3 linked regions of the Notamacropus eugenii genome follow. The protein of the gene in region 2 interacts with the protein of the main gene of each other region in a pairwise test. Links are inferred from orthologs where the notes say so. Each region holds a gene or a part of one and is shown on either strand. Other genes may lie near its edges. The genes, in order: ATF4, TRIB3 and ATF5.

The links.
Region 1: the proteins of TRIB3 (region 2) and ATF4 interact in binary tests that used the Homo sapiens proteins (3 or more experiments, as listed by UniProt). The link is inferred for Notamacropus eugenii from reciprocal best matches to the Homo sapiens genes TRIB3 and ATF4.
Region 3: the proteins of TRIB3 (region 2) and ATF5 interact in a two-hybrid assay, tested with the Homo sapiens proteins (2 studies listed by BioGRID and IntAct). The link is inferred for Notamacropus eugenii from reciprocal best matches to the Homo sapiens genes TRIB3 and ATF5.

Annotation. Positions count from the first base shown.
Region 1 is NC_092874.1:298,748,429-298,758,465, reverse strand, and holds ATF4 (cyclic AMP-dependent transcription factor ATF-4), read right to left. Parts: upstream 3,559-10,037; 5' UTR 3,421-3,558; intron 2,952-3,420; 5' UTR 2,872-2,951; coding exon 2,646-2,871; intron 2,529-2,645; coding exon 1,714-2,528; 3' UTR 1,630-1,713; downstream 1-1,629. UniProt on the Homo sapiens protein: Transcription factor that binds the cAMP response element (CRE) (consensus: 5'-GTGACGT[AC][AG]-3') and displays two biological functions, as regulator of metabolic and redox processes under normal cellular conditions, and as master transcription factor during integrated stress response (ISR).
Region 2 is NC_092872.1:432,032,953-432,044,094, reverse strand, and holds the start of TRIB3 (tribbles homolog 3), read right to left. Parts: upstream 5,091-11,142; 5' UTR 4,963-5,090; intron 1-4,962. Other genes in the region: NRSN2 (neurensin-2), read right to left, coding at 6,189-6,496, 7,057-7,112, 7,507-7,832, 9,300-9,491. UniProt on the Homo sapiens protein: Inactive protein kinase which acts as a regulator of the integrated stress response (ISR), a process for adaptation to various stress. Inhibits the transcriptional activity of DDIT3/CHOP and is involved in DDIT3/CHOP-dependent cell death during ER stress.
Region 3 is NC_092876.1:12,045,212-12,055,875, forward strand, and holds ATF5 (cyclic AMP-dependent transcription factor ATF-5), read right to left. Parts: upstream 5,151-10,664; 5' UTR 4,913-5,150; intron 4,094-4,912; 5' UTR 3,960-4,093; coding exon 3,782-3,959; intron 3,700-3,781; coding exon 3,086-3,699; 3' UTR 2,687-3,085; downstream 1-2,686. Other genes in the region: LIG1 (DNA ligase 1), read left to right, coding at 15-86, 166-310, 414-496, 743-895, 1,062-1,115, 1,349-1,492, 2,213-2,305, 2,393-2,479.

The sequences.
Region 1 (10,037 bases), on a different chromosome or scaffold from region 2:
ATGGAATTTCAGGTTTGGACATGACTGTCTAGACCATATCTGAAAAGGAATCCTCACCACAGCAGACACAGCAAAGGACCTGGAAGCAGGGAAGAGTGGTCACTTTCCCAATAAGTCCCATTCCATTTCTGGACACCTGACAGGAGCGTTTTCTGATGTCCAGCTTGAATTTGCCTTCTGATTCTGAGCTGATGAGTTGAATCATTCCACAATTGTGACTATAGCTACCCCCTCCCCAAGTTTTCTCCGGACTGTGCTGAACCACATCACATGGCTGATCCACTCAACTTGCAACCCCTTAAAAACTCATCCTTTTGATTTTTTTTTAAGTTATACTGAATTCAGTTTTTGGACATGAGTTCATATTTATCCCTACTACATTTTATTTTATTAAATTCAACCCAATGTTCTAGCCTGTTGACATTTTTTTTTTTGGTGTCCTGGGAGGGCACCTACCTGTCAGTTTTCCCTCCCAGCTTCAATTACCAGCACATCTGATAAGCATAGTATCAGCTATTTAAGGCTTTAATAGAAACGTTAAATGTTAGAAAGGAAAACATCCCCAGGTGACCAGGCCCTGATTCTTAACTTAGAACCTTTAATGAGCTTAGCTGTTAACTCAGTTCCAAACCTACTGACTTTTATTATCTTATCATCTAAGCCCACATGCCTCCATCTAATCAAAGGTTTTGCTACAGTCTCCAATTGGTCTCCATAGTGCATTCTGTCTGCCAGGTTTGGTGACCTGGGTCAAAAAGAAAGGAAGTAGCCGTTCTTGACAAAAGGCACACATAGCTTAGCTAAATGCCTCTTGGGAACATGCACTCACTGTTCTTGGGGCAACTCGTCATTCTCTTCCTTTTGGGAGGCAGGGGGAGAACTAGAACGAATGTTTGCCCTTCCTGCCATCCATCCTTACCTCCCGTTGTTCCGCTGGCAGTCTCTACGACCAAAAGATGACGTTCTTCGTTCTTACCCTTGGTATCATTCCCTTTCCATCTGTTTCTTCTTGACTCCCTTCCCTGACGCAAGGATGGCTCGATAGCAAGCATGCTTTTATGGCTTATCTCTCAAGCCTCATTCATTTCTGAGATTTAATGCTGGGACCACTATCTGATGACAGCTATCATGGGCTCCTCAAAACCCCCATCCAAACGTAGGGGCAAGTCCACTTGCCAGGATGGGAAGAGTTGACTGGCCAAGATGGATTGCCCTATGAAGCTAAATGGGAAGACAGATCCCTGACTTTCAAACTATGGACCCCCTTCCACACAGTGCTAGGGTTGGAGTAATAAATTTATGGCTCATAGTAATTTAACTTGCCCAGTCTCACAAAGAATCTCAAGCTTATGAGCAGACACGCTTCTCTCCTTACTCTACGTACAAATTACGGGTAAAGATTCCTGACGTTCCCTTTTCTGTAGGTTCAGTATTTTGGATACCCAGGGACACAGGCGTCATTTCCAGGGCCCTGAAGTTTTCTCATTATTGTGTTGTCCTTCAGATTTGTTCCCAACCTCCAGCTGATCTAGGGTACCTTGTGTTGGTTCCCTCCTCCAACTAAAATTTGCCCTCTCAAAAGCGTTTTCAGAGTCCAGCCTTCTGATGAAGCACATTAAAACTACCAAGTTGCACTTTTACTACAAAATAATTTATTGAGTAAGACAGCACAAGACTCCTATATACACACAAAGTACATGACTACCCAACAACTTAGGGACTTTTCCTCTTTTCCTTGGCTTTCCTGACCTCTTCTATCAAATCCTTCAAATACTGAATCTCTTTGCTAAGGGCATCTGCTTTCTCCTTCAAAGCCTCATTCTTTTGTTCTAGCTCTCTGCACTCCCCAGATAAGGCCTCCTGCTCTGCCCGCTTTTTCTGCCTGTATCTCGTGGCAGCAGTTTTATTCTGTTCCATTTTCTTTAGTTTTTTATCTACCTTTTTCTCTTTCTTGTCCTCAAGGGGACGGTCGTATGGTTTCAGGCGGGCTGAGAGAAATGTGGCATCTGAAGAGAGCTGGCTCTCAGTCAGTAAACCCATGTTAGTGGAGGGGCTATGCTGGGGAGAGCCTAGGTAGGACTCGGGGCTGGTACAGGTCCCAATTCCACTGTCATTATCTGAAGGGGGTTCTTCCTCTTTGATGTCCTTAGGCATCACCCCATAAACAGCTTCTGACTTTCTGTCTCCTTCCAAGACATCCACTTCACTACCTAGTTCTAAACTAAAAGAATGGTCTGGCGTGGAGATCAGGGCCATTACAGAAAAGGGAAAAGACGGATGGGAGGTGAGGGGGGTGACATGATCAGGTTCAAGTAGAGTTTCGGGGAACTGGCCAATTGAACTGACTGTTGAAGGGGAATCTTTGTTAGTAGAGGCCAAGGGGTCAAACAGATCACATGAGTCTTCCAACGTGGCAATGAGCTCAGAGCAGGTGGATTCTAGGTCATCCATACCCAACAAGGCATCGAAATCAAACTCCTTCAGATCCATTTTCTCCACCATCCAATCCATGCCGGAGAAGGCATCCTCTGCAAGACAAAGCAGCCCGTGACCCTGTGAGCGGTGACCAGGTGGGACCACGAGCCGCAGCGAGCAGGGGGGCGGGCAGCCTCCGCCCACGGCCCCGCCCCCCACCCCACTCTTACCCTTGCCGTAGTCTGTGGCGTTGACCACACCATCCACAGCCAGCCAATCGGGAGAGACTGCCTTAGCCTGGTCGCTGGGGAGCCCATGCGATTTGAAGGGCTTGGCCTCCTCCAGGTAGTCATCGAAGGGGCTCAGGCTTTCCTCAACCGCCGAACCCGACTGGCTCAAGGGGGACAGCAAGTCCCCCAACCACAGGTCGCTGTTGAGGAAGCTCATGTCCGTCATGCTGCGGGGCTTTCGTCAGTTGGAGGAAGGCAGAGGAGTCTCGGCTGACAGCAATGCTGCTGCTGGAGGCCTTGGAAAGCCTGCAAGAGCCGGGCGCGAGCCGTGAGACCCCCGCCGCCCATCCCCCTCCCCGAGGGCGGGCGGGGCCCCACTTCCGCCCGCAGTCCATGTACGGCTCGAGGCGCCGCCCCGCCCCCGCCGGCCAGAGTGACTCACGCCCCGCCCCGCGGCCCCCCTCCGACCCCCGCGCGGAAGCGCCGGCCATCTTGTCTCCTTGGAGCGCCCTCCCTGCCACGTTTGGCGCTGGCAGCGCGCCCGCGCCAGCCCCTCCCGTCACAAGAGGGGGCTCGTTCTCCCCCGAAGGGGGGCGGCACGGACGCTTTGCATGGGGGAGGTCGGGACTGCGCACTTTTCCCCCAAAACGGGTTTAGAGACAGACAACAGCGCGACCTGTTTCGTTAGTCCGACACGTACGGAACAGACAGCCAAACCAAGCCCGGGAAGCCCGAGGCCCACCTCCCGCGGCCGCTCCCCCTCCCCCCCACTCACGCCATGGCTTCGCGCTCGAGTTTGCCGCTGCAGAGCCCGGAGCTGCTGCCGCCGCCGCTGCAAGGGCCGATGCTGCCGCAGGCGCTGCCGCCTCTAGAACGCCATGGCGGGCGTCGGGGATGGCGAGGGTCGGGCCGAGCCGAGCAGCACGGGAACCACTGAGTCTCTGCTTGGGCGGGCGTGAAAATGGCGGCCGCGCCGGCCTCCAGCGTCTTATACTGCGCGCTACCAGTGACGCGAGCGGCCTCCCCTGCCTAGGTATTCTTCCGCCGGCGTCACGTGGTCGCTCTCCCGGACCTCCGTCGCTCTATGTCTCTCGGTCCCCTTCTCTTCCTCCAGCTCCGGTCACGATTCTCGGCTGCCAAAGAAAGGGAAGAGACAAATGCCTTTTAAAATCTCCCCCAAACTGGCGGAAGGTCAGGGACTATTTTCACAACTCCCCTCCCTTCTCCCCCCAGCGGATTGCGGAAGAATCCAAGACGCGGTCGCTTCACTCCAGCATCCGGGAACGAGGGCGGGGCTGGGAGTGGCTGGGAGGTAGAGCGTGACAATCTATGCGGCGTTGTTTGCATCAATGTGGAGTCGCGAGGAAACTCAGAAATCGCGCGAGACTCGATGAAGAAAGAGGGGCGTGGGTGAGGCCACAGCGCTGATTGGCCGCAGCGGGATGACTCAACCCCTAGCTCGAGCTCCCATTGGTCCAGAGTCCAACGACTGGCGGGTTTGGAAGAAGGCGGCGGGCGCGGGAAGGGGATGGCGTCGGGCGGGCCGTGGCGGCGGGGAGGGGCCCGACAGGTGGCTGGCGACAGTCACTCCCACCCCCACGCAGTCAGGCCCTGGCTAGTTCTGGGTTCCGGCACCACCGGCAGGCTACCCATGGTCCCTGCAGGCTCTGAGGGCCTGGGGCGGCCTCGAAGCCGGATTTCCCATCCCCCACCCCCTTCTTTCTAAGCTCGGGCCGAAGCCCCGCCCCCTCCGGAGACGGGAGGCTGAGGCCTAGGCTGGCCCGGCTCCCGAATTTATTACGGGGGGGAGGGGGAGAAACTGAGGCCCAGTGACCTCCACGCTACGCGGTCCGAGGTGGCTGGTTCTCCTGACCCCCAAGAAGGGCGGGGCGGCTCACCCCGTCGGGTCGGCCTCTTCTAGTTTGAGGCGCCCCTCCTTCGGGGTGGGGGTGGAGGGACGCTCCTTGCCCCCTTAATGGACTGAATTGGACGTCCTCCCACCAGGCGCTCTTCTACCTCTGGTTGGAAAGATTGATTGATTGATCGATCACATTGGGTGAAAGCGAAGAAAGATCAATGTCCAGGCGCAGGGGCACGGTCCCAAAATACCGGCTTCTCTAGAAGGGCCAAGTGGAGGGCCGCTGGTCTAGACAGCTGACTCGAAAGCATCCCCAGGGGTGGGGGTTGTGACAGACTCCCACCCCCACCCAGTCATTGATTCCAAGGCCAAAAACAGCTGTTGCACTCCAGGGGGGCATTTAAGTTAGACGTGGGGAGAGGGAGGGGTGGTCCTTGTCGGGGTGCACTAGAAGAGCGAGCTTAGGAGGGACAGGTTTTAGGGGGTGTCCCTTTAGAACGAAACCGAGAGGGAAGGGAGGCAGATTCGAAGTTGGTGCCGTCCAAACACCGCAGAGCAGCTCTGGGGACAGAAACGGACAAAAATCCGGGGCCTTCGTGCCCTAACAGAGGGAATCCTCTCTTGGAAGGAGGTTGGGGCGGCTTGGACTGGATGTCCATGGATGGGCTCTTCCAACTCTGGGATTGTGAGCCTAGAATTGCTAAGTTTTCCTTGAGTTGCGCTGAGATCTGCCTCCCTCTCCTCACCCTCTGGCACCAAAACAAATTTGATCTCCCTTCCCCTGGCAGCCCATCACATCTCCTTTTTCTTCCCCCCTCCCTCATCCCTATCCCCTCCTCTTTTTCAGGCTAAACACTCCCTGGTCCTGCCAGCTGATCTTTGTTTGGCATGTAATCCAGTTTGCCAAATGTCCTAGTTTTAGAAACAAACAGGATCCCCCAGGTGTAGGCTGACAGAATGAAAGATGGCAGGACTCCCCTCCCTGGTCTTGAACATGGTGCACCTCTTAAATAAATGCATTGTTTCCAAGAGCTTTTTTAAAGGCAGCTGTGTCTTACTGTTGACTCTTGCTTACAAAAATGCCCATACTGTTTGCACAGCAACTGTCTCGCCATGCCTCTGCCATCCATCCTGCCCTTGTGCAGTTGTCCAAATGTAGGGCCTTAACTTTAATCCCTATTCATTGCAATTCACTAGATTTGTTCTATCATCCAAGGCTGTTGAGGTCTTTGGGGACTCATTCTGTCATTCAGCACGTCAGCTCATTGCTAGCTTTGGCATCTGCTGATATCCAGGTCACAGATAAAAATAATCAGCCTCGGGCCTTAAAAGGGTTAGGGTTACTATTCCCTCCAATTGGATCAGTCATCCCCTTCCAAATCCCCCAAATATAGTCTCACCATTATCTCTCTCCTTTTAGTCCATGAGGATGGTGTGAAGGACTGTCAAAATACTTTCCTGAAAACTAGAGAAATGGTGCCTGAATTCACAGACCCATCTCTTCCATATGTCTCAAACTTTACCAGAAACATGTCAAATTCACCTGCCTAGAGTGTGCAGACTGCCCTCTCTTGGAACAGAGTAAGAAATCAGAGGCTGAGAGAGTAGATGGGATTTACCCAGACCAGGTGTGCAGGCAGGTGAGCACCTACCCTGGATTTCCATTTCTGCTCTGCCACTTGCTACCTATAATCTGGAGCCATCACTTCATTCCTTGGGGGCATCAGTTCTCTCCTCTGAAAAACTGGTCCTAGGCAACCTCTCAGGTCTTCCCCCTCCCCTCAGATTCGGAAAGTATTTTTTTCCACTAGTTAGAAGCAGCATGGAATCTCAGCCAGGAGGTGGGTTCAGATCCCAACACTGACAAGTCACCTTCCTCCTCTGGGTGATCACGTGACCTCCAAGGGTCCTGCCAGCCCTGAATCCTGGAGAATCACTCTACCTTCTCTGGGTCTGTTTGTTGTTGCCCAATGACGTGGGCTCTGATGATTGCAAATCCGGTGAACCAATGGTAGTCACTGTTAAAATGTGTGGGGTGGGGGGAGTGGTTTTAACTAGGTAACCTCAAAGTTCCCCTTTGGTTCAAAAAGCCCATGATCCCTCCTGGCCCATTTCCTAGACCTGCTACCCCTTTATAATATAATACAGTAGCTGACTGTACCTGCCTTCACTTGAGACTGAAAAGAAGTAAGGGAAAGAAACCATGCCAGATCCCCCTTAATTAGGTCTTTATTGAGACTCCACGGATATGTCAAGCCTTAAACTAAGGGTTAGTGCAGATGAGACTGAAGACATTGATCACCCCTTGTATAGTTAAGGGACCTAAGTTCAAATTCTGCCTTTTTGTTTCCTTACAGTGACTAGATATAAAATGGGAGGGGGGGACCTCCATGACCTCAAATCTCTCCCAGCTCTAAATCTTATGAACCAACTTCAACTTGGAAACTGTGTGCTAGAGGGGGAAGGTTAATGGCTCCAGGTACAAATTCTGGCTTTGTCATATCACCTGTGCAGGTAACATTGACTAGTCATCCTCTGGGCCTCCATTTCCTTATGTGTAAAATAAGGACTAAGGTCCCTTCCAGCTCTAAACAATTTGCAGTGGTCTCATATCAGTACTCAAAAGAGGGAGTCGGCTCATTTGGAGTGAAAATGGCAATGGGGGTGGAGGGAATGGAAGGGGCCGAGGATGGCTGCATGCAATGTCCCGATTTCTGTAGTCTATTCATCAGTTTTTCTGGGAAAGAGAAATTTCCATCCCCAATTAGGGAGCAAGTTGGTAGGCAGCTTGGGGGGGAGGGGGCATCTTCTGGTCCTGTTCTGAACTTAGGGTCCAGGGATTTCCTTTGTACATCTGTGGGTTTTATTTGGGTCACTTGTGAGTAATTCTGAGAAAAGGTCCATGCCTAGGAGGTGTTGTTTTTGCACTGGGACATTTCAAGGAAACCATACTTGGTCCAATTCAACATGTGTCTTCCCTCCTTAGAATCCGGGGGTGGGTGTGTGTGTGTGTGTGTGTGTGTGTGTACATGAAGAATAACCACTCTGTATGTAGACACAGAGATTCTGAAACATGGGAACAGGAACCATGTGATCTTTCTGAATTACTGCAAAGTCCTACAAAAATTAATGCTGCACATCGCCAAGTAAAGGGGTTCTCTCCTTGGCTCCCAACACTCCTTACCAAGCCACTTTTTAAGCTGCAAAGGGAAAGGATGGGGACACTACAGTCAACTGCCTGGTCCTGAAGGAAGACCTCCTTGGGTTAAAGGAAAGACCCTCAGATGGGAGATCAGAGGAACCTGCCCTACCCATACCAGTAGCCTCCAGACATGGAGAAAATAGGTTTGATCTACATCAAACACAAAAGTCAAATCTGGTGCAAAGAATGTTTTTATTTTACGTTCCCACTCTTTCAAAGGTCATCAACTCCCTTAGCCTTGATGTTTGAAGGGAGGAGAAAAGACAAGGTGCTGGGCAGGACTGAGTAGAACACTTACCCAGACACCCCCCAACCCCAACCAGCCCAGATGTGTTTGTAGATCAAGGACTGCATATACTGCACTCCACAGAACAAAAGGCAGTTTGTGAGCTTGGTCAGAAGCCCTGCAGGTCACAGGGCAAATGAGCTTCCAGAGATGGTGACCGAGGAGACATTTTCAGCACCCTACGTCCTGCTGTCCTGGTTCTCTGCTCAGCTATCACTAGGTCTTGCAAGGGCTGAATCCTCAGGGCAGAGAAGTGATGGGCATCTGCTTCAAGCTGGGGAAGCCTAGTCTGGCCTGTCCCACTCCCAACCAGGAAAGGAAAGTCAGTCTCTCTAGCAGGCCAATTTTAGGGCCAGGGCCATTGTTTTCCAGCCCCCCTGCCAGGACCCACTGCACCTTTGCTCTCCCCAATGAAGCAGCAGCAAAGGAAGCAAAAGGAGCAGGTAAGGGGACTAGTGGAGATGGTGGCCAACCCTTTCATCAGGAGCATGGACTTAGAAAGTACTAGTTACTTCTTTCCTTTAATGATAAAAATGCCTCAAACAAACATGGGTTGGGGGGAAATGCCCACTATTACCCTAAATTTCTGGGGGTTAGGCCAAGGCAGAACCCCAAAACCTCATTGATTTGGGTTTCTGAGACATGAAGTCAGGTCAAATAAACTCGTTCAAGAGGAGAGGTGCTTGTGCCAGCCAAGAACTTTTCCAGGATCAGCTGTTACTGCAAACAGAGCCGATGTGGGGGCTTGCTGAAGGGAAAGCAGTACCTTGGCCCCCCTCAACCTGGAATTCTTCTACCCTCCCCTTCATCAGTCAATAGCTTTGTGTCCAATAGAACCATTACCCAAAGACTTTCTTTTTGATCCTATGGGCTATTACCTGACTGTACGGCAAGATCATCTTGTCTGAATCTGAAGATATATTGGAATAATTCTTCCTAAATGGATGAAGCGGTTCACATTCACACACACTTTTCCCCTCTTGAGAAATGCCTTTACTTCACCAGAGACCCTGGGACCTGATTTTACTGGTTTGGTTTGTTTTTGAAGCTTTGTATTTAATACTGAGGTGCTACTAATGTACAGCTGATTTGGAGACACAGGCTAGAGGGGAAACTGGAGACTTCAAATACCTTATTGGGTGGATCTTTCCAGTCCCCTGAGGAAGGTGCATTCTCATCCTTCCCATCGCTCAGAAGCAATCAGAATCCCACACAGACATCTTTCCAACTCCTCCCCCTCCAAAAAGTCAAAGCACCCACTCTTCTCAGTAGGCAATGAAGGGTAAGAGGTGGGGATTCTGGGAAGGGGCCCCTAGAACTTCACTTCCTAGACTGTGACAAATATACAAATTCAGGAGGATGCTGAGGACCTGGTGTCATGTGGAACATTTTACCCCAAGTACAAGGTAAAGATGGTTACCCAGTTGTACAAGAATCTCATTGAGTGGGGAGGTAGAGAAAGCAGAAGCAAAATACTCAGATTTGGCAGTGGGAATACAAAATACTGGGTAAGAGGGCCAGAGGTAGGGCCAGCAAAAGCCCCTTACCATAAACAGAAAAAGAAACACAAAACAGTAAGACACAATGACAATATGTATTAAAACCCTCCCCCCATCTCCCGGCCCCAGAATGACTTTACATTGCAATAAATAGTACATTTGTAGCAGCGGGCAACAAGGGGAGAAAGAAGAGTCTTCTTTCCCTTCCCCCTTCATTTGGCCCTCTAAGGCCCTTCTTTCTCCCCTAGGTGCTATCTGACAGGCATACATGACAAAGGGAAGGCATTCATGCGTTCTGGCAGCCTCTGGCACAAAGGGTGCCCCTCTTCCAAGGGCAGGCTCTGAAGGCTTCGAGGAGGCAGGCCTGGCCTCTGCAGCGCTAACATGAAGTCAGGAGGGGTCCTCTGGGTGCCCCTATGAAGGCACGTCAGCAAGCAGTCTGGTCTCCTCCCACCAGCCACCCACTGTCATTGGCCACGACTTGACTGCTACAGATTAGCAAGGCCAAGAAGCTGCCCGAGCTGCCTATGACCCTCCGTCCTGCCTC
Region 2 (11,142 bases):
TCTTTCCTCCCTCTCACTTGCCATCCATTTTCTCAAGAAGTCAGTTTCCCCCTGCTAGGGAGCCAGGCAGGGAAAGCGTTTGCTCACTCTGGAACACAAGAAGGCCCAAGGATAGGATGAGGAGACGTGGTGAGATTTTGCTCATGGGTCGAGAGGCCTGCCTTTTGCCCTCTTGCCCTTTCCCCCAGAGGCCAATGATTTCCTGGGAGCTGTTTGCTCAGGGGCAGCTGAGGACTGTGTTGTTGCCATACAACACAGAGAGATTTCCTGTCTGATTTGCAGGGAGGAGGGAGAACTACTGTGATTGAGACAGCCCAGAGGGAAAAAAGCTAGAGATGATCAAAGAGCAGGATTGTGGAGGAGAGAGCTAGTCAGTGATTAGAAACTATCAACTTTTGAAAAAAGGCGTTTGGTAGTCAGCCTAGGATGGAGAGGCCAGCTCCTTGTTTAGCTGTCTTTTCACTTTTACTATTCTGGGATGGGGGAGGTGATTCCAATACTTCTTCTGTTTTCCCTTGCTTATAGCCCCATATCATAGTTGGGGTCCCAGGTATGCAGGCCCTTTCCTTGAATTTCACTTGAGTTATAGGGGAGCTCAGTGCTTTGTAACTGTTCCTTCAGCATGCCAGAAAGAAAAATGGGAGTCCAGGAAATGGTAGGAAGGGGTTTCTTGGAGATTGTTGGGCAAAGGCTCCCCATGTGGGGACCCCTAACAATTTTCCTTGAATTTTTGCTATGCCTAGTAAACCTTGTAGTCAGTGAATTTTGTATATTTCATGGTTGTATCATTGGTGCTTAGAATCTAGAGAGGGAAGGAACCCTCAGAGGCCATCTAATTCAATCTCCTCATTTTGCAGATGAGGAAACTGAGGCCCAGGCAGGTAAAAAGACTTGCCCAAAGTTATACAGGTAGCATCACAGTAGGATTTGAACCCAGATTCCCTGACTCTGGGGCCATGGTTCTTTTCATGGTACCATAATATATCACTGAATTAAGTGAGTATATGATATGGTTTTGAGGGAATGATTGATTGAGAAGGGAAGCTCCAGAAGTGTAGTAGGTTACAGATTTTTTCCTAATGTTTGAGCCATTCTGAATGATATCACATCATCCCCTAGTAGAAAAGTCAGCATACTGGCAATATAAGTTTTAATTCCTCAGGCTTTTGAGTCACTTGGCTTGCTAGGAAGCTGGAGGTGGTGAATGGGAACTCATAAATAACTTGACTAGTAGATGGCTTGGCTTTAGCACTACCTGGTGGACAAAACAAGTGTGATACTTCCTTTCTGAATAATTAATAACATAGCTGTAATAATAATAAAACCTCCCTTCCTGGAGGCTTAAGAAAAATACCAGTTGCTGTGAGCTGCTAGTGCAGGATGTTGCATAGTGCCTACACCTGTGCCAGGAGGTGACATGAAGGGATAGAATACATCTCAAATTAACAAAGACTGCAGAGTGATGGCAGCACAGGGGTAAGTGGCAATGAGGAGCAAGGAGTATGCCAACTTCACTTTCTAGCTGGAGTGTGGAGGGCATGAGTGAAGGGATAACCTTAACTGGGGAGAGTGACCAGGCTTTCTATGTTTTCCGGGAAGACCCAGGTTTCCCCAAGCACCGAAAGGTGGATGATTGTGACAAGTGAGACATCGGATAGATCCGAGTTTGTTAATCACAGAATAGATGTTCCAAAGGGGCCTGTGTACTCATAGCTACAGTATGCATGGGATTGTTTGCAGGTATGTGTGTATCTCCACAAGCACGTGTGTGTCTGAATATATGTTTATGGACGTGTCGCTTTGTGTTTGTGTTTGTCCATTTGTATTTGTTGTATGAAGACATACCTGACTGTATACGCAGGTTCCTTACTCCTTCTATGGGTACCTATTTATCTATATATATGTATGTTTATGTGCCCATAAGCATCTCTGGACTCATCAGCCTCTTCCAGAGAAAGCTACCTCATGGCTTCAGACTATATGTTTCATTCCCATTCCACTGAGCTGTCTTGAAGTTTAGTGTAACAGTCACAAGGAGAGAGAGAGAGAGAGAGAGAGAGAGAGAGAGATACAGAGATACAGAGATACAGAGACAGAGAGAGACAGAGAGAGACAGAGAGAGAGAGACGAGAGAAAGAAAGATTAGAGACATTGAAACCACATGCCCTGCTTTCAGGTCAGCCCCTTTCAACTGTTAGAGAATGGAGATAGTGTGGCCCTTGCCTATTAATTAATCAACAACTTACCTTGAGTCCTAGGATTTTCTTCAATGGTTTCAGAGGTCTTCTATGAAATTTTCAAAATACAAATTAATTTCTATAGAATCCTGGATACTAAAGTTAGCAGGAACCTCAGATCATTTAGTCTAGTTCTCAGCCTTCAGGCAGGGCAGGGATTATCACCACCATTTCCCAAGTGAGGTGACCGAGGCACAGAGAGGAGAGGACTTGCTAAGATCCCTCTAATTTTTTTTTTTAAGCTATTCAATTGATGTTACTTATCTGGGCAAACCCTCTTGAATGATGCTTATAAGGCAGGTGTGAAGCTGACAGTGGCATAATTGTAAGTATCCAAGGGTTTGTGGGCTTACTTGTGCATGCAGGACCCTTCATCTTTGCCAGAGAGAACTATGGTTCAGAATTCCTCTTTATCTCTACTTGCTGTGACCTTTGTACTTCAAAGTACCATCTCTTCATCTCTGCTTCTATCTCCTCTATGAAGCCTACTTTGATCCACCCAACTAAAACTAGTCTTGCCCCCTATCAATTTTCCCTAGGGTATTGTCTGGATTGATCCTTTGCCCTTCTCAGCCTGCGACCCCATTTGGAGTTTTCTTGACTAAGATACTGGACTGGTTTGCTATTTCCTTTCTCCAGCTCATTTTACAGATGAGAAATCTGAGGTAAATATGGTTAAGTGACTGGCCCAAGGTCACACAACCTGTAAGTATCTGAGGCTGGATTTGAACTCAGATCTTCCTGAGTCCAGGCTCACTGTTCTATCCACTTAGTCACTTAGCTACCTCCTAGCTGAACCTAGCAGGTGCTTAATAAGTGTTTGTTGAATTGAAACAAAACTCTGTGTGCCTGCCATTGTGTCTGGACACGTAACCCTCATGTAACATGTAACCCAAATGCCTGAGTGCTGCCTTTTCATTTAGAGAAGAAGGGACATTGTCCAGATCTGGGATTTCCTTGGCATAGTTCCACTATGGAAATGCCTTTCATCAATGAAAAGCAACAACCTTTTTTGTAATTTATCATCTCAGAAAGTTTCCTGGTGCAATGAGAAATTAAGTGACTCATCCAAGGATACTAGTTACAGCATGTTATCAAACATAGAACTTGAACTCATGTCTTCCTAGTTTTGAGGCTGGCCCTCAAATCACTCTGCCAGTCTATCTGTACACCCATGACACATACCTACCCATATACACACATACAGATTCCACTCCTATGTCAATGGATGGTTGGCTTATCCTGGGGTTTGAGGGCATGCCGAAGAACATTCTTCCCAGGGGTATTGTTTCTCAGTAGTCCAGAATGATCTGTATCACTTTCAAAAGAACAGTGAACTCACTGTTCTGGGAACTCTCCTCCAATATGGATAGTGGCCTCTCTCCTCCTCAGGAGATAGTTCCCAAGGACCTTGTGACTGCGCATCTGCTCTCTGGCAGTCATGACCCTGATGAGAAACCTTCCTGTTCTTAGCTGGGCTTCTCCTCAGAGGACCAAGCAGGCCCATCCTTGGAGGCTTCCTAAGTTAGTAAGAACTTTGAGAATCTGTGGTCACTTCTGTGCTATGAGTAGGCAAAGAGGAAACTAGGAGACTTAAGAAAGGGGACGGGATAGACTTAGCTCAAGGCTGTGTCGAGATGGGGACTCAAATCCAGGTTTTATATAGCCAGGTTTCTTGCCAGTAGATTAGCTATGCAATGATTCAGGTATTGGGAGAAGTTGATCTATGGATCCCCTCTGTAGTCTGGGAGATGGTCAGACTATAGAAATGCAGGAATTCTTTGGGAGGCCTGGAGATCATGTGGTCACTATCCTCAGGCTGAGCTGTTGGGTTGGGTTTAGCAAAGCAGGTCAGAGGTCAGGGTCTTGGAATTCCAGACATGGATCAGTCATTTTAGACTACATAGGCTGCCTTGAGATAACCAAGGCTGGAAGAAGAACCAGGCCGGTATAGGAGATATCTCTCCCAGAGCTTGTTGGAGGAAGGAAAGATAGGGGAAGGCTGAGGCCACTTTTGCTCAGAACTCCCCACTCTCAACACCAGTAAAGATTCCATCCTAATTGGTTTTGGGTGAATGGGTAGAGAGTATTCTTCCTGAACATCCAGAAACATCTTCACTATGGATGAATTTTTCTTTTTTCTCTGAATCTCACTTTCTATCTGTCTCTCTCTTTATTTGTCCCTCCCTCTCTCTCTTGATTATCTAGGGATCTCAGGCTAGATGCCTAAATCTAGTGGGAATGCTGAGCCAGGGCTGATCCTGGCACTTAGGGCCCTGGAGCTGTCCCTTTGTCTTCTGGAGGGAAGGGGATAGGCTGTTGATCCATGCCTACCATCAGGCTCAGTCTTGGGAACAGCCTGTCCTTGGATCTCTGAGGAGGAACTTTGACTCACTGCACAGGGATGGGGGTGGAAGTACAGTGGTCTGAGGATCAGGGGAGGAAGGCCTGATTAGACGGGCTCCAAATTGGGGGTGGGGGCTGTGCTAGGAAGTGGGAGGGCACAGATTGGGGGGTGGGGTTTAAGAAAGAAATGTTTCCAAGTGTAATGCCTCCTTCCTAAGGGGGAGCAGATAGCCTTGACCCACAAAGAGGAGTCTTTATACCAAGTAAAAGAATTGAACTGGTTAGGAAAAACTCTAAGGATACAACTTTCATTTCCCTACCACAAACCCGAACCTGGCAGTCTCAAGTGTTTCTAGGGGATGTGAGGGCTGGGGCCTACCTTAGGGTTGGCAGGCTAGGCTACCTGAAGGACAGCTCCCTTAACTCACTCTTGGCCAGGGGGAGGCTCTTCTTGTGGAGTCAGTTGTCCTCTGCCCTTTTCCACAGCTGCCTGATAGTATCTGAATTGCTGAATATTCCCAGGGATCTGGGCAAGAGAATTCAGAACAGGTGGGGTAACTGTTACCTCACTAGGAATCCCCAGTCACCCCTAATGACACGTCTCTTTACACGGAGCTGTAGTATGTGAGCTCTTTTTCATCTTTGTAGCCCCAGCCTGGAGAAGTGCTTGGTACTTAGTACGCGTCTAAGAAGTGCTTGTAGATAGATTCATTGATTAACTATAATGCAAAATTTGTGGTGCACAAGGAGGCTGGGGGTGCTTCTTAAACCTGGAGGCCTTATTGTCTCTCTCATCTTTCTGATCATGTCTCTATTTCTGGAAAGGGGGGGAGAGAGGTAAGGTTTTTCTGAGTGGAGAAGAGGGAGGAGGTGTCAAGTTTCTCCACACTTCTCCTTAATTAGTCATTATGCCCTGAAATACCACTTGTCACCCAGGGCACCCAGGATATACTTGTCTTCCCTATGTCCATACCCAAAGACATCTGTCCTCTACAGTGTCTAATCTCCATGGGACTATGTTCCCAAGTGTCCCCCCACCATGGTATCCATATCCAATGTACCCATACCCCAAGATACCCACCTGGGGTAGATACACCCCAAAGTCCCCATCCTCAGCTGGGGAAACATCCCAAAGTGATGCCCACACCTTAAGGTAACTATGCATCTCAAAGTATCCACTTTTATGATATCCATATTATAAGGTGTCTGCCTTCCACAGTGTCCATCTCAAAATGACTGTTCTCCAAATATCTACACCCCAAGGTTTTCTCCCTCCATGGGGACCACATCCCAGTGTGTTCCCCAAGGTACCCATTATCCAGGCTTCCCATAGCATTAGGTTACCACCCTCTTTGGTGCCTCCCCTGTGTGGTTTCAACACCTCTGCCTGCCCTTCATGCCATCAGTATCTGGGTAGGAAAGAAGAGGTTCTTAAGATCCATCCTGGCTTTTTATTGAGAGAGAAGACAGGGGAAGAAGGGAACAGAGAGGGCTGTGGGGTCAGGCAAAAGTGGGGTTAGGCCAGTGACCTCATACACCAGTGGAGCTGAGACCCTGGTAGCCAGGTGGCTTTTCAGATAAACAGGATGAACTCCAACTCCCTCCCTAAGCCAGTCCTGGGCACAGGTTGCCCCCTGGTGGTGATGGGAGAAAGGATACCTCTTGTTGTTGGACCCAGGATGGGGATACTTGAGAAACTGGCTTGGGTGGACAGAGCATGGAGACATCAATTTCTTCCAGGGATACACTCATGTCTCCATCCAGAAAGCCCAGCTCCCCACCCCTGGGAGCTAGTTCATTGGAAATAGCACTGGAGTGGGAATCGGGTGACCTGGGTCTGTTTTCCACTTCTGCCACGGACTCTCTTTGAGATAGGAAAGTCTCTTCCTCAGCCTGGTCCTCAGTTTCTTCTTCTGTAAAATGGAGACAATTATCCTAGTTTTGCCTCTCTCACAGGACTTTTATGAGGAACTAATGGGACAATAGATGTAAGTGCTTTAAAGAAAGATGAAAGTATGAGAGATTCTTATTGCATGATGGCCTGTTATAGGAAGCAGGGACCATCTGTTTGGGGGATGGGGAGGGAGGGAAGTTCAACAGTCTTGGGAAAGGATACATACAGAGGGGCCCTATCTCATCTCCCCCCCCAAATTACTTTGCCCACCCAGATGTTTCTCTCCATGAAGAGACAAAGACTCTGAATGTTAGAGTCACAAAATGGCAGAGCCGGAAGCGACCTTAGAACACAGAACATTAAAACATAGAATGTTTGAGCTGGAAATCACTTTAGAATATAGAACTTTAAAACACAGACCATAAAATGCTGAAGCTGGAAGGAACATAGAATTTTCGAGCTGGAAGGTACACATAATGTTAGAATACATAAACATAGACAATCAGAGCTAGAAAAAACCTTAGTGAGTTTTTAGCTCTTGAATGTAAGGGAAAACAACCCCAGGGAGAAGAGACTTACCCAAAATCACACAGTTCTTCAGTGGCAGAGTGAGTTCATGAGATCCAGGTTCCAGGCTAGAAAAAGAGAGAGCTAAGTTGTTCTTCTGTGGAACCCTGACCTGTTAGCCATTCCCCAGTAGGGATGGGGGAAGGAACAGCAGGGGTCCCCAACCTTGGACATTTCCACCCCTTGGTCTAGCTTCTTGGGGCTGGGGCTGGGTGAGTAGCCTTGAGTCAAGTGCCCCACTGGGATCAGGAAGGAAAAGGAGCAGTAAAGGAAAAAGGGATGTAGACCAGAAGAGTGAGCCCCAAAGGGCAGGGACCCCAAGTTCTGACTCAGTGATGCCTCCTCCCACAATTGGGCTGCTCCTGAGTTAGGCTTAGGACTTATACTTGGGCTGGATAGGATGAACCCCTGAGGGACCAAAGGGGATACTCATGGCAGTGGAGGGGAAGCCCAGATCCCCACCAGCTCTGGGGCCTCTGGCATAAGATGGGTGCCCGCTGCTGTGCTTCTTCATCCTCCCTGTCCACAGGCTCTGCCTTGGGTTCTGGCTTGAGTCGGGTCAACAGGACCAAGAGCATGCAAGTACTCAGCAGGATGGCAGCAACAGCACAGAGAGCACTACCCGCTAGGCGGCAAGTGCCTAGAGCCTTGTTGTACTGAGCTGCTCGCTGGTCCAGAACCAGAAACTCTCCTGCTCCGATGCCCTCCAACTTAGGCGGCACAGCATAGCCCGTGGTCAGGGCAGCGGCTCCCAGGAGCAGCAAGAGGAGCGACAAGGACACAACTCCCTGGGAAGAGGAAGACAGGCAGTGGGGGAAGGGCTGTGGGGAGGCAAGTGGCTGACACCCATACCTAGGGTTGTCAGTAAAAATGGGTTGGTTTGATTTTGTAAGTGGTTTTTATAGGATTCAGAAAGGACCTTAGAGATCAGGTAGTCCATCTGTCTTCCCACCTTCTAGCCATTTTAAACACGAGGAAACTGAGCCCCAATGAGGATAAGTAACATCCTAAGATTACCTAAGTAGTAGATTTGAACTGGGACTTGAACCCAAGTACTCTGACCTCAATCAATCAAATCCAATGGTGTGGAATTCCTTTACATTATACTACCTTGTTCCTGCTTTGGGGGGTGTGGGTGGGGATGGTATAGGGTGCTGTGAATAATGTATAGGTTGGTCTTTTATTCCTTTTCATAGTACCCATATGAACTATGCAGTCATACAGGAAAAACCAAGTGGATGAAAAATGAATATCATTCAGATTATGATATTCCACTTGAGGGGTAGTCTGTAGAAATAATTGAGTGCCATGTATATCTTGGCCAGGTGAATCAAGGAATACAAGCTCAGAAAATTCATAGCCACAAAAGGCTGACCCAAACAGCAATGGAAAGATCCATGGTGGGTGTGATTAGGCTGGAACATATTACCAATGATGACGCCATTGTATGATGATGTAATAGGTATCACAAGGACATGAATCACTGGAAAAGGAGATGGACTGTTCATGTACCAAGACTGAGAGATAAAATACAGATAATCTGAATACTACTGGTATCCATGAAATATTAATTGAACCAGAGAAGACTTGTAGCATATTGGGTAGATTCTCTATGGATGACTTACAGAAAACATGGACAAGTTTTGTATGGGGTGAGAAAGCATGGATGAGCTGCAATCCACATGAGTGAATAGAGTACCCATGTTGATGAGATCCACTGGACTATTCCAGTATAACTTCCTTATGGATAGTAGGATCTCTGAATCAGAGAGTATGATCAGTCTTGTTGCTCTTATCAACATATTACCAGTTTGCTTTCCAAAAAGATTCACTAATTCGCAGCTCCACCAACAATGTAATAGCACACCTGTTTGCCCATAGTCCCACAGCATTTAATCGTATCAATTTTGCCAATTTAGTGAACTTGAATAGATGGAGAGGCAACCTGGCACAGTGTATAGAGAGTTGGTATCAGAGTCAAGAAGACCTATTCCAGCCAAGCCAGTCTTTCCCCCAGAGGTCCCCCTCCCCACATTCATTCATACCCAGGAGCCTTGACTCACCCTGAAAACTCCCCTTTGTATCCTACCTGTCCCTCAAGGCATACCTCAAATATTATTTCATTTTAGAAACCTTTACTGATCACCCCAATCTACAGTGACCTCTCCCTCTGAGTTCCTAAAATCCCGACTATTCAAACTCTGGGCTAAGGCAGGAAGTCCAGCAATTTGGAGGGTGGGGAGGAGAAGACTTACCTTCCAGAAGGAAGAGGACCAGTCACAGGTGTCCTGGTTATTTGGAGTGGGGTCCTCCACCTCCTCAGGGTGGGCTGCACCTCCACAGTCCTCATAGAAGAGGTGCAAGTAGGAACGGACCCCATTCCACTTGCCATGGTCCTCATGGGGACCACGGCCGCAGGCACACGGCCTTTCTCGGGCAGGCATCATGTTTCTGTCTAAGAGTGGGAGGAAACATTAAGGCTTAAGGTCAGAGCTCCCAAAAGCCCTCGGTCCAGGCCTTACTCCTAACTTATACCAAATGGGATATGAAGCCTGGTTCAAGTCCCTCTTCCTCCCTAAGCCTCCTCCAACTATTCTGCCCCCATTCTACTTTGGTGTAATAGAAGGTTGGAAGGTTTGACTTTGAATTCCATTTGTTCCTCATAAGCTATTCGAATTTGAGTAAATCTTTTCACCTCTGTGGGCCTCAGTTTGCTTATCTGTAAAACCAGGAAATCTATAAGGAAGGGATCTTCCAGCCCTGTTGAAAAGGTGATTTTTGCTCTAAATTATGTAATGCTGTATTTGTTATTGGGGAAAATCTGTTTACAACAGATCATCAAGGCATCTTTGCAGCGGAAAATGCCTTTTCTCCTTTGCATGTACCTGAGAGGTCCCTTTCTGCGTTCCAGTAATCCTGGCTTTCTTCCCTCTGTTTTTCCCAGACAACTCAAAGAAGGTTCTTCAACACCTTCTTGCATTTTGTTTGGGTTTCTCCTCACAATCCTCTGTGTTCCTGAATCCCAAAGGCCCCGTTGAATGGCCTATGTGCAAGAATTAGATCTGATAACGCTTTGTCTGAGTCTCTTCTCCCATCACATTGTTTTTCGTTAGACTTATTTATGTTTCCCCTAGCATGCTGTAAGCTTCTTGAGAGTCATGTTCATATTGCTTTTTTAGTTTTTTATCCCCAGTGGAGTCCAAGAGGCAAAGTGGATACCCAACTAAATTTGGAGTCAGAAAGACCTGTTCAAGCCTCCCCCACTCCACTGTTGTTGTGACCCTGAGAAAGTCACTTAATTTTTCAATGACCTAGGCAACTCTAAGACTTTAAGTTACATAGGGGTAGATAAGGATAGGTAGAGGGAGGTGCCTCCCTAAAGAGTTCCTTATACCAATAAAATCACTGGTCCAGTCTGTATCCCTAAGACCGATGCTCAGAAGGTTAAGAACCATTGGTGCTTAACAAATGTTTATTGAATTCGGTTTGTTGACTTGATAAACCAACTCTACACACACACACACACACACACACACACACACACACACACACACACACCATCAAGATTTTGCCTAAGAATAGATAAGGTATGGCCCCATCTCCCAACACTTTCCCTTTCCATACTTATTTGCATTTAGATCCCAAAGCCTTCTGGAGTTTGAATGTTAAGTAAATTATGATTATAGAATCTAAGAATTGAAGAATCACACTTTTTCAGGGTCAGAGTTGTAAAGGATCTTTGAACTGAGAAAGTTTGAGCTAAGCAGGGCCTTAGAGATCATCCATCTAATCCAACAGCTTCATTTCACAGTGGAGGAAATTGAGACTGAGATAGATTTAGTGATTGGAATGAAAGCATCGCAGACCTGGAGAGAGATCTCAGAAGTCATTTAGTCCAACCAGAGACTGCACAGGAATCTGCTCTTCACAAAGACATCCTTCCAGATCTTGGGCTTGGAGTTAGAAGACCTGAGTTAAAAATCTACATACTGTCTATGAGCTTGGGTAAGCGGTTTAACTTCTGTGGGTGTCAGTTTCTTCATCTCATCTGTAAAATGAGGGGGAGGGGTTAGACTAGATGACCTCCAAGGTCCCCTT
Region 3 (10,664 bases), on a different chromosome or scaffold from region 2:
TCTTCTCGACCCAGGAGGTAGAGGAGTCCGAGATCCACGTCCAAGTGTGCCTGTACGCCTTCGACCTCATCTACCTCAATGGGCAGGTGAGTGAAGCCCCACTAAGCACAGTGTGTCTCTGTCCCTGTGGGGCTCTTATCCTCATCCTCTTCCTTCTCCCCACAGTCCCTGGTCCGGGAGCCGCTGTCCCGGAGGCGGCAGCTGCTCCGGGAGAACTTCATCGAGACAGAGGGCGAATTTGTTTTTGCCACGTCTCTGGACACGGAGGATACTGAGCAGATTGCTGACTTCCTGGAGCAGTCTGTGAAAGGTAGTGGGGACCCCTCTCCCCTAGGGTGGCCAGATCGAGCCTCCCTCCAGAGGGGTATGGGCAGTGCCCAGCAGCTCATGGGCATCTCTGTCTTCTGATCCAGATTCCTGTGAGGGCCTGATGGTGAAGACCCTGGACGCTAATGCCACGTATGAGATTGCCAAGAGATCCCACAACTGGCTCAAGGTGACCGCGCCCCCTGGAGCCCCTGTCCCATTACCCCACCCCCTCCTCCTCCTTGCCCACAATCCCCAGCCTGTCTCTCCTTGGCCCCCACTGCTCAGCTGGTCTGCAGCACCCAGGCTCCATGGAGGTGAGGCCAGCCTCATGGCCCAGCCTCCATCCTTCCCCACTGTCTTGTCTTGCCTGAATTCCTCCTGCCTGGTGCCCTTCCCAGGGTCCTGCCCCTGAGTTCTTCCCCCCCATAAGCAGCTGAAGAAGGACTATCTGGAAGGCGTCGGGGACACCCTGGACCTGGTGGTGATTGGGGCCTATTTGGGTCGGGGAAAACGGGCTGGACGATACGGGGGCTTTCTCCTGGCTGCCTTCGATGAGGACAGTGAGGAGTTCCAGGCCATTTGCAAGGTGGGGAGCCGCCTGCTGAGTCAGAGGGAGGCAGGGTCATCTGGGGGTGGGGCGAGCTGGAGGAAGTGACTGTGACTGGGCCCAACCTGGCAGGGGCCCACACTCAGGGGTGGGAGACAGAAGGTACCCCTGACCATGTTTCCTTCTGCCTCCTCCCTCTCCTCAGCTGGGCACAGGCTTCAGTGATGAAGAATTAGAAGAACATTACCAGAGCCTCCAGGTGAGAACTGAGGAAACATCAGGAGCCCCTGCCCCTACCCCCTTCTGCCACTCTCCCCTCCCCATGCTCCCCTGCTGCTGCTGCCCTCTCCTCCCCAGGCTTGCCCCCTGGGTTTGATCCCAAGCCCCTGGCTGGCTTTCACCCCAGGTCCTGCTGCTCTCCTGCTGGACTTGCCCCCACCGCTGGTTCTGCCACAGGCAGCTGCCCTCCCTCACCCTCTGTCCCCTACCCAGGCCCTCGTGATTCCTGCTCCTCGTTCCTATGTCCGGGCCGAAGGTGCTGCCCCCCCTGACCACTGGCTAGAGCCAACCACCGTATGGGAGGTTAAATGTGCCGATCTCTCTGTCTCCCCAATTTATTCAGCAGCCCGAGGGTTGGTGAGTACCAAAGGGGGCTTTGTCTTGGAAGAAAAGGGCCAATCAAGGCAGGGCACTGCAGCAGATGTGCCCCACTCTCAGACACTCCCCCCCAAATAGTGCAGGCCTAAGGGCCAGGGAGCCCCAGCTTTTATTCCAGTCACTTCTACCCCTTCTATGGTGCTCATATTGCAGGGGTCTAGGCCTAGGGGGAGGGGATGAGGAGATTCAGATTGTATACACTCTTGGGTGTGGGGGCCCCAGGTTAGGAAGGCCTATGGGTTGAGTCCTGGGGAGCTGGGATCCACAGGGACATGTGAGGCCTCAGCTGTGGACCCTGGAGAAGTGAAGAGCAGGAGGAATTCTGTCTGGGGTGGTCCCCAAATCACAGCCCAGGAATCCTTTGGGAGAACCGAAATTCTTTGAGTGTGGGAATTTGGGCAGCTAAGTGGTGGAGTGGACAGAGCGATGGGTCTGAAGTCAGGAAGCCCTGAGTTCAAATGTAGCCTTAGATGCTGACCACATGATCCTGGACAAGTTGACCTCAGTTTTCTCAATTATATGGAGATCATACTAGCAGCTACTTCCCAGGGTTGTAAGGATCAGGTATGTGCAAGGTGCTTATTATTAGCACAGTACCTGGTACATAGGTCCTTTGGCATACTTGTTGGCTAGGCAGGGAAGCAAGGTTACTGAAGCCCTACAGGGCAGGAATATGACCATTCATTGATGCCCACCCAGGTGGAGAGCGACAAGGGCATCTCCCTTCGTTTCCCCCGATTTGTCCAAGTTCGAAAAGACAAGAAACCAGAAGAGGCAACCTCCAGTGCCCAGGTATTTGGGGAGAAAGGCTTGCAGGGAGGGGTGAGGCCAAGGCCTGTGACGTGTTTCTTGGCATCAGTTGGATCCTCCCCCCAACAGGTGGCCTATTTGTATAAGAAGCAGCAACAGATTCAGAACCAGCAGGACTCCGAACCCACTAACTTTGAACCTGAAGATTTCTATTAGCTCACCCAGTCCTACCTGGGTGAGCAGAGCAAAGGTGCTAGTAATTACTCAATAAAATTTGGGGGCTAGAGAGTGACTGATTCATCTTTCGTCTGGGGGGAAGGGCACAGCAGAGTCTGCCTCAGCTAGCACCTTAACCTGTGTGCAGGGGCAGGTGCATGCTTGGGATCCAGCAGCCCCAAGAGAGAGACAGACAGGCAGACAGAATCCAGGACAGTCTGTTCCTTTATTGGTTATAAAGCCCTAGACCCAGGTGTGGCTCCTCCCCTTTCCCCTACCACTTCTTTTCCCAGCCAATACCCACCACCAGCCCTTGCCCAACCACTCCCCAGCTGGTCCCTTTGGCCTAATCTTCAACGAGGCCTGAGAGCTGTTTCAGAGCCCCAGACTTGGGGGGGAAGCTCCGCTTTCATTTCTTTCCCGAGGGCAATGCCCAACCCTTGACTAAGGCCTATTTACAGAAAGGCAGAGGGAGCCTCCCTGGGCGGGGCAGGAAGGTAGGGGGTCCATTCACTTGCAAGGCTCAGCCTTTGCACTGCCCAGCCCCCTCCATGAGGGAGAAAGTGGGGCCAGGGCTGAGAGAGCAGCCAGGATGGCCCCCATGTGCTAAGTGCTCCTCAGCCTCTGGCTTCGGGCCTTGTACACCTCGATGAGCAGGTCCTTCACGTACTGGATCTCACGCTCCACGGACTCTGCCCGCTCCCGCAGCTCCCGATTTCGGGCTTCCAGGCCCTGGCACTCACCTTCCAGGGCCTCCCCCTCAGCTCGTTTCCTCTGGCGGTACCTGAGTGCAGCTGACTTGTTCTGGTCACGTTTTTTCTGTTTGCGATCTCCCCGAGAGGGTGGCATGGGATAAGGGGCTGGCCGGGAGGCCGACGGGGTGGGCAAGGGGGCTTGGAAGACCTCCCCACCTTCCCCCTCACCCCGCCCGGGTTCCCCACTGCAGTAGAAAGTCAGCAGATCAAGGGTATCTAGAGGAGCCTGGGGGAGGTCAAAAGAGGGCAGAGGAAGGGGCACAGGCACTGGGGAGGGGGGTGGGAGGGGGGCATCCAAGAAGAAGTCCTCCATCTGCTCCAGCTCCTTCTTCAGCAGGGAGGCCATGGCCTCTAGGTCTGGAGGGGAAGGAGATGGAGATGGAAGCGGGAGGGCACCGGGGGGCTCCAGGGGAAGCAGGGCAGTAAAGTCCACCCGCTCTGTCATCCAGTCTGAGAAGCCGTCACCTAGGCAGGCAGGGGTAGCAGTCAGGGAGGAAAGCTCCTCACTCCCCTTCATCACCCCCTGCCCTCCTCCCTCTTGCCTTACCTGCCAAGGACTCACTGCCCCCAGGAAGCCCCCCCTCCAGGGCTCCCCCCAGGGCCTCATAGGGACCCAGGGGGGCAGGGGCCAGGGGGAGCTTCCCGTAGTCCACCCGCCAGCCCAGCCCGCTAGCTGGGAGCAGGGCCCTGTCCAGCTCCAGCCCTAAGGCCGCCAGGAGAGACATGGCAGCCAGGACTGCACAGGCCGGGGCTTCGAGGGCCAGGAGAGCACGTGGAGGCCGAGGCAAGGCCCAGCTGGAGAAGGAGGCTCAGGGGAGAGTGACAGCTGCTCAGCAGGAGGGTGGCAGAGGCGGAGGACCTGCGGGGAGGGAAGGGGAGTGCGTGGGGGCGGGGTTAGACACCAGCACCCCCCCAGCCCATTGGCTGAGGTGAGAGCGAGCTCCGCCCAGAGGTGTTAGGAAGGTGGGGCTAAAGACCAGCACCCGCCCTTCTTCCAGCCCATTGGTTGAAGAGACCCGCCCCGAGGCAGGCCCTTCACTCTAAGTCCCGCCCCCTCCCAGGAGAATTCCTTTTCTGGCCCCATCCATCATTCTCCAGCGACCACCCTTTCTTTGGCAGCTTGGTCCCTGCCTGGTCTTTGCCAAGAGCGTGTCCTCTCTGGCCCAAAACCCTCCTAGTCTGGCGTCTTCCTTCGCCCTCCTCCTCAAAGGCTTCCTTTAAACCCAGCCCTGAATGCCTTGGAGCCCTCTGTTCCCCACCTAAGGTCCCGCCTCCACAAAGGGCTCCACCCACACCCGCCTCTCCTTCAACCCGCCCCGTCCAAATCTACGAAGCTCCGCCCCTACATGAAAGGGCTCGGAAAGCCCTGCCCCCTCCCCCACATCAGGGGCTTTGAGCTCCACCCCTTCCAAAGACTTTCACAAAGCCTCGACTCCACCAGAAAAGTGCTATCAAGTTCCGCCCTCCGTTCCTTTGGGCCCCGCCCTCCCTTAAAAAAATCCACAGGCTTCTACCAAACCCCTCCCCCTCCTTAACAGGTGCGCTAAATGGGGTAAGGCACAGCAAACGAGCACTGCGCATGCGCCTGTGCTGAGCGCACTCCAGTAGTTCTACTCCATCCCGCTCCCGGGAGTCTAAGAGACGCCAGGAACTCAGTGCGCAGGCGCCGGGTACTCACTCCATGGCTGCAACGGAGGGCGCGGAGGCGGCGAAAGCGCCGGCGGAGGAGGCGGCGGCGGCGGCGGCAGAAGAAGAGGGAGCCGAGAGGCCGAGCGCGGCGGGCGCCGAGGAGCAGCGGGGGCAACGGGACGGAGCTACAGGGCCATGGTCCGGGGCGGGCGGACGGACGGTCTGCGCGCAAATTACCGTGGCAGGTGGAGAGAAGGGAAATGAAGCGGCCCCCTGGGCGGGAGCAGATATAGGGCGGAGCGCAGCCTGACAGATCCCTCCGCGCCCCGCCCCATGTCACCAGGCCCCGCCCTCATGCCACCAGGCCCCGCCCCCATGCCACCAGGCCCCGCCCCCACCGGCCCTGGCCTCCAGCGAGGGCTGCCAAGTCTCCTCCGCCTCGTCCGTACAGTGAGGGGCTGGGCCTAAATATCCAGGCCGGCCCCTCGCTGCTGCCCCGCAACGTGGGCCTCCGCCCGGGGCGCCCTGCCGCCCCCCTGTGGCCTTCCCGCAACGCCCATGCCAGTGCCGGGGGCTGGCGGGGAGTCACGCGGCATGAAGAAATGAGGAGCCTGCAGGAGACCTCGGAGGCGCCCCCCTGCCCCCCGAGGCCGCCGCCGGTCCGAGCCCGGTTGGCTAGTCATCCCTCCCCCGAGGTCTTTCTAGATCTGGGGAGGAGAAGTCCCGGAGGGCTGCGACTTGCCCAAGGTCACTCGGGCAGTGAGCCTCGAGCTGGGACCCAAACCCAAGTCCTCGACCTCCTGCCTGCCTCCCTGTCCGCGCTTGTCAGGCCCTCCCGGTGGGCCCCAGTCATGCCCGGCAGGTGCCAGTCCGTCACAGCCCACCCTGGAGCCCCATCCACACCGCGTCCCGCACGGACTCGAGCACCCGCCACCTGCCGGCAGCCAGAAACCCAACACCCTCCGCCTCCCTTCCCCTGCCCTGCCCGCAGAATGGGGGGGGGGGGAAGAGACACACCTGGGTGGGGTTGAGGGGGACTCTTTGTTGGGGCGGAGGGGCCAGGCACAGGGAGTGAGGTGACAGCATTGCAGCCAGGTTGCATCAGCCCTGGCTCCGATGTGGGCAGGGAGTGGGGGGATTCTCTAGGGGCACCAGTTCACCTGGCAACAACTCCTGATTGCCCGGATCCTGCGGCAGGCAGAGGGGCCCCCTAGGGAGAATACCTGAGCACAAAGCGGGGGAGGGGCCCTCAGGCTCCTGGTTTCCCCCATAAGCCCCGGTCAGTTCTAGGACCGGACAGACCACCTCAGTCCCCACCCTCTCGACGTCCTACCGCTCCAAACCCCTTCCCCACCCCACTCAGAAGACCCAGCGAGTTAACCCTAAATCCTATTACCTCGGAGTTCTGACCATCTATCTAGATATGTGTCATAAAGTCCCAGGGCTTCAGGACCCCTGGCTTGGACAAGCTGCAGACATGGGGAGGAGGAGGGGAGTGCTGGAGATGAGATGGAGGTCAGGGTGAAGGTCAGTAGGGGAAAGGGAGTGCGTGGGCTGGGACAGCCGAGCACACTCTAGCCCCGTGGCCACCTTTAACCCCATCCTCCTCCTGTGACCCCCTTGGCTCAAACTTGAGGGATGGGGGACTTTCTCTGTCCCTCAGCCTGCCAGCTTCCCAGCCAACTCCCTGAAACCTCTCTGTCCTGTTGCATTCTCTGTCTGTGGACTGGGGTCAGCTCTCCCAGTCCATGTGCTGCCCTCTGACCCTAAGGTGCCTGTCACTTATTTCCCTCTGACCAGACCCCAGACGATTTCAAAGAAGGAAGAGTCCTTAGGCATTTTACACACGTACAGGGTGTGTGCCACTTTCAGACTGGCACTTTTTGCTGACTGAGGCAAAGGCACAAACAAATGTGATTCCTGCATGTCTGCTCCTTCCAAAGGAACCTTGACAGACTGTGAGCCACAAGTGACAGCTAGGATCTGAACCCAGGTCTGCTGACTCCATCTCCAGCCAGTGCTCTGCCCCACACCTGTCTGGGATTGACTCAGGGCCCCTGCTCAGCCTCCGTTTCCCTGAGGATCCTCCCAAAGCAGGGCCTAGTCCCAACCACACCTGACCAAGCATCTCTTCTGCAGTGTGAGTGTAGGCCAACTAGCCTCCACTGAAGACCTTCCGTCTTGGAAATCCATCACCTCCTTGGGCAGCCCTGACCCAAAGTAGCGTCTTCCCCCAGTTCTCTGAGCCAAGGAAACAAGGCTGGCCCACCTTCCACCTTATAGGCCCTCAAGAACTTGAAGACAGTTCCTCCAGCCCCCACCCCCTCCAGCCTTAAGCCTTCTTTCTCCTCCCCAGCTAAATGTTCCCATTTGGGCCAGAAGTCCTCATAAGGCCTTTCACCTTCCCAGTCATCTGCCTGTGGACACTTTCCAGTGAAGGAAGGAAGGGAGGGAGGGAGGAAGGAAAAAAATGTTAAGCCCTTACTAGATGGCCCTACCCTCCTGGAGGGTATTCTAATAGCTTCCATGCCTCCTGGGGGCCCCTTCTTCCCTTGGCAAGGTCTTCCCACAGCCTCCATTTTGGGGGAGGGGCCCCTATCTCACTTTCTGAGTAGGTGACTCCCCCCTTCCTTTGTGACTGGCTTCCCAGTTAGGTTGGAAAGTGAGTTCCCTGAGGACAGGGACTACCTTTTTGTTCATATTTGCATCCTCCGGGTTCAACAGAATGTGTCACACATAGCAAGTGCTTGAGAAGCAGAGAGCCAGGTTGTGATCACATTTGTAGCTGCACTAGGGGCTGTGGGGTAGAGGGGCTGCTATTGCAACGTGGGCAGGAGTCCATCATGTGCCCCTAGGAAGTGTGGAATTTTGTCAGGCAATGAACTCTCCTTGCATGGAGAAGTGTAGTCAGAAAGGAAGCTGGACTGGGCTGTGGGCACCAGCTGGACCTGCCTGGGGCCTCTGCACCCCTAGAACATTCACCCTCTGCCCACTCTCTATTTCCCTCCTCTAGGCCTCCTTACAGCTCCCCCAGTGGCCCCCTGACCCTAGATCTGCTGTCAGACATGGGGTCATCAGGAGATGGCTGCAGGGGGAGATAAGGCTGGGAAGCAGGTCAAAAACCAGCTCACTCTAAGTGGGTCTGCCCACTAGGGAGGTTAGGGGTTCAGGTCTCTGGACATCTGGGTCACAAAGGGCATGGAGAAAGGAACTCTTGAGAAAGGGAGTGGCATGGTCCATCTTCTAGCCAAGTTTGTATGTCCCAAACATCATTATGGGTTACTGTCCCCTGGAACGTTCAAGGCAACCCAGGCAACTAGCCTCAGTCCCAGACTGGTTCCCGTATCAGGTAAAATCCCTCCAGCTTGGAGACTCTGGGCTTCTCTAGAGATATTGGCATGTGTTTATAAGTCAGTAATAATTAGGGTGGCTAGTTGGTGCACTGGATAGACTGCCAGGCTTTGAGTCAGGAAGACCAGAGTTCAAATCTGGCTTTAGACACTTACTAGCTATGTGACCCTGAAAAAGTCTTGTCTCAGTTTCCTCATCTGTAAAATGAGCTGTAAAAGGAAATGACAAACCATTCCATTATCTTTGCCAAGAAAACCCCAAATAGGGTCACAAAGAGTCCGACACAACTTAATGACTCAATAACACCGTTCCAGTGAACACCAGCCTAACCCCTGCCCCCAAGCAACTCCCAGTCTAATGGGGTCGACAACAGGCAAACAACTAAGTCCACATAGGATGGAGATGGTGTGAATAAACAGCAGGTAACCCCAGGGGGAAGATGCTAGCGGGAGGAGGGGATGATGGGCACTGTACCAGTAAAGGTTTCCCATGGAAAGTGAGCTGAACCTCGAAGCCCAGAGGCCAAGAGGAGGAACAAGAGGCTTCTAGGTTTAGGGGACAGCCTGCACCCCACCTCCGCCTTACAGGGGCCTCCTACCCACCAGCCCCTGCCAGTCCTGACCTGGGAGCCCTCCTCTTCCTAGCCCTCCCCAGCCAGGTGCAAGCTCCCTCAGTATACAGGGTAACCAGCCTCCCAGTGGCACATCTCCATAGCAACCATCTCCCCCAGCTTCATCTCCTCCCAGTCCCTCCCACAGGACCCCGGGAGCTGCCTCCTCGAAGCCACTGTGGATTAGAAGCAGAAGCACCTCAACTGCCCCGCCCCACCCCACCCTACCCCACCTGCATTTCTCAGACCCAGGTAGGGCTTGTCCCCCAAAGGCAGCCTGTTTAGGGGCACTGACTTCAGAGCCTGAGTAGTAGCAGGGTGTCCAGGCATCCCCAGTGGGGCTGCCCAGCCCTGGCTTTTTCCTCTGATTTCTCCCTTTTCTTCAGACTGGCTCCTGTAACAGTGCAGTTCAACCACCAAGTGCTGTTTACCCCACTCCAACCAGACCCCGTGCTGAGTGCTGGGGTACAAAACGAACCCGGGAGCAGCCCCTGACCTCTGGAAGTCTCCCTTACTTTCACCCGGCCAATACAACAGCAACCTAATTGTTTCCAGCAGGGTGGCAAATGTAATTGTCTATTTGGGGGAAAGGAAATTCCCAAGACAATACAGTGTGATCTTTCACTGACTATGGCCAAAGCTGCAGGGCTCTAAATGTCACTGCACTGCCCTAAATCTGCAGAAAGCATCCTTACTGCCAGTCTCCCTGTCCTGAGGTAGCCCACCTATGGGGGATTGAGATGATGGCTCTGGAGGAGCTGGTCAGAAGACCAGAGGGAAAGAGCAGGAACCACTGGAGAAATCTGGAAAGGCTTTTTGTAGAAGGTAGCACCTGAACTGAACCCTGAAGAGAGGCAGGGAGTCTCTCAGGAGGGAGGGCATTCCAGGCATGGGACACAGCCCAAGCAAAAGCAGAGTGGAAATGGGTGGCCACAATCATCATCCAGTTTGGGTGGAGCATTGAGTTAAAGGGAGTAACAAAATGAGTCAAAAAGGGAGGCTGGCCAGGTTGTGAAGGGGTTTAAATGCTGGCCTGAATTGTATTTTATCTGAGAAGTACCAGGGAACCCCTAAGGACTCTTGAGAAGTGGAGTGACATAGTCCAGCCTATGCTGTAGCTCTTGTAACACGGGGTTCCCCTGCCTGAGCCTCTCCTTCTAAGTCTTCTCTGTTGGATCCTATGAACCCCTCCCCAAACAATTGTGAACCCCCAAGACTTGAGGGGAACCTGGAACCTGGATTGACCAATCAAGAGAGGCATTTTGGCTTGTCGGAGCTTGACCTATCATAATGTTCTGACATGGCAGACCTGCTTTGCTTTGCTCTCTGAGTGAATCCAAAAATGGTCCTTCCTGTATTAGTAACAAGGCCCGATCAAGTCGACCAGGAGCATTCTTCTGCCAAGGACAAGGCCCCTTGACCCAGACACTTTCTTGAATAATGGGACTTTTCTTACCTTGGTTTTCTATAGACATGTCATATTACATTGTGTTATGGTGTTGTGGTTTCCTGACATATTATGGTGGAACCATCTCAAAGAATTCAGAATCGACCACCTCTAATCCAAGAATAGGCATTTATGGAGAATGACGCTTCACATGGAGTGGACTAAGTTCCAAGAGGAACCAGCAACTTCAGAGAAAGCAAGATGGATTTTTATCAGGCAAAGATACAATTTCACAACAGAAATTATGAATATTAAAAAGACAGGAGGGGTTGATATGGAATTAGGTAATGGGGAGGCATCCTAGTCACAGTGGAACTGCGCTTGCAATTGTCCACAAGGCGTATGAAAAAACCCTTTTGGAGAGCATGTATGTATGGTAATGATATTACAATA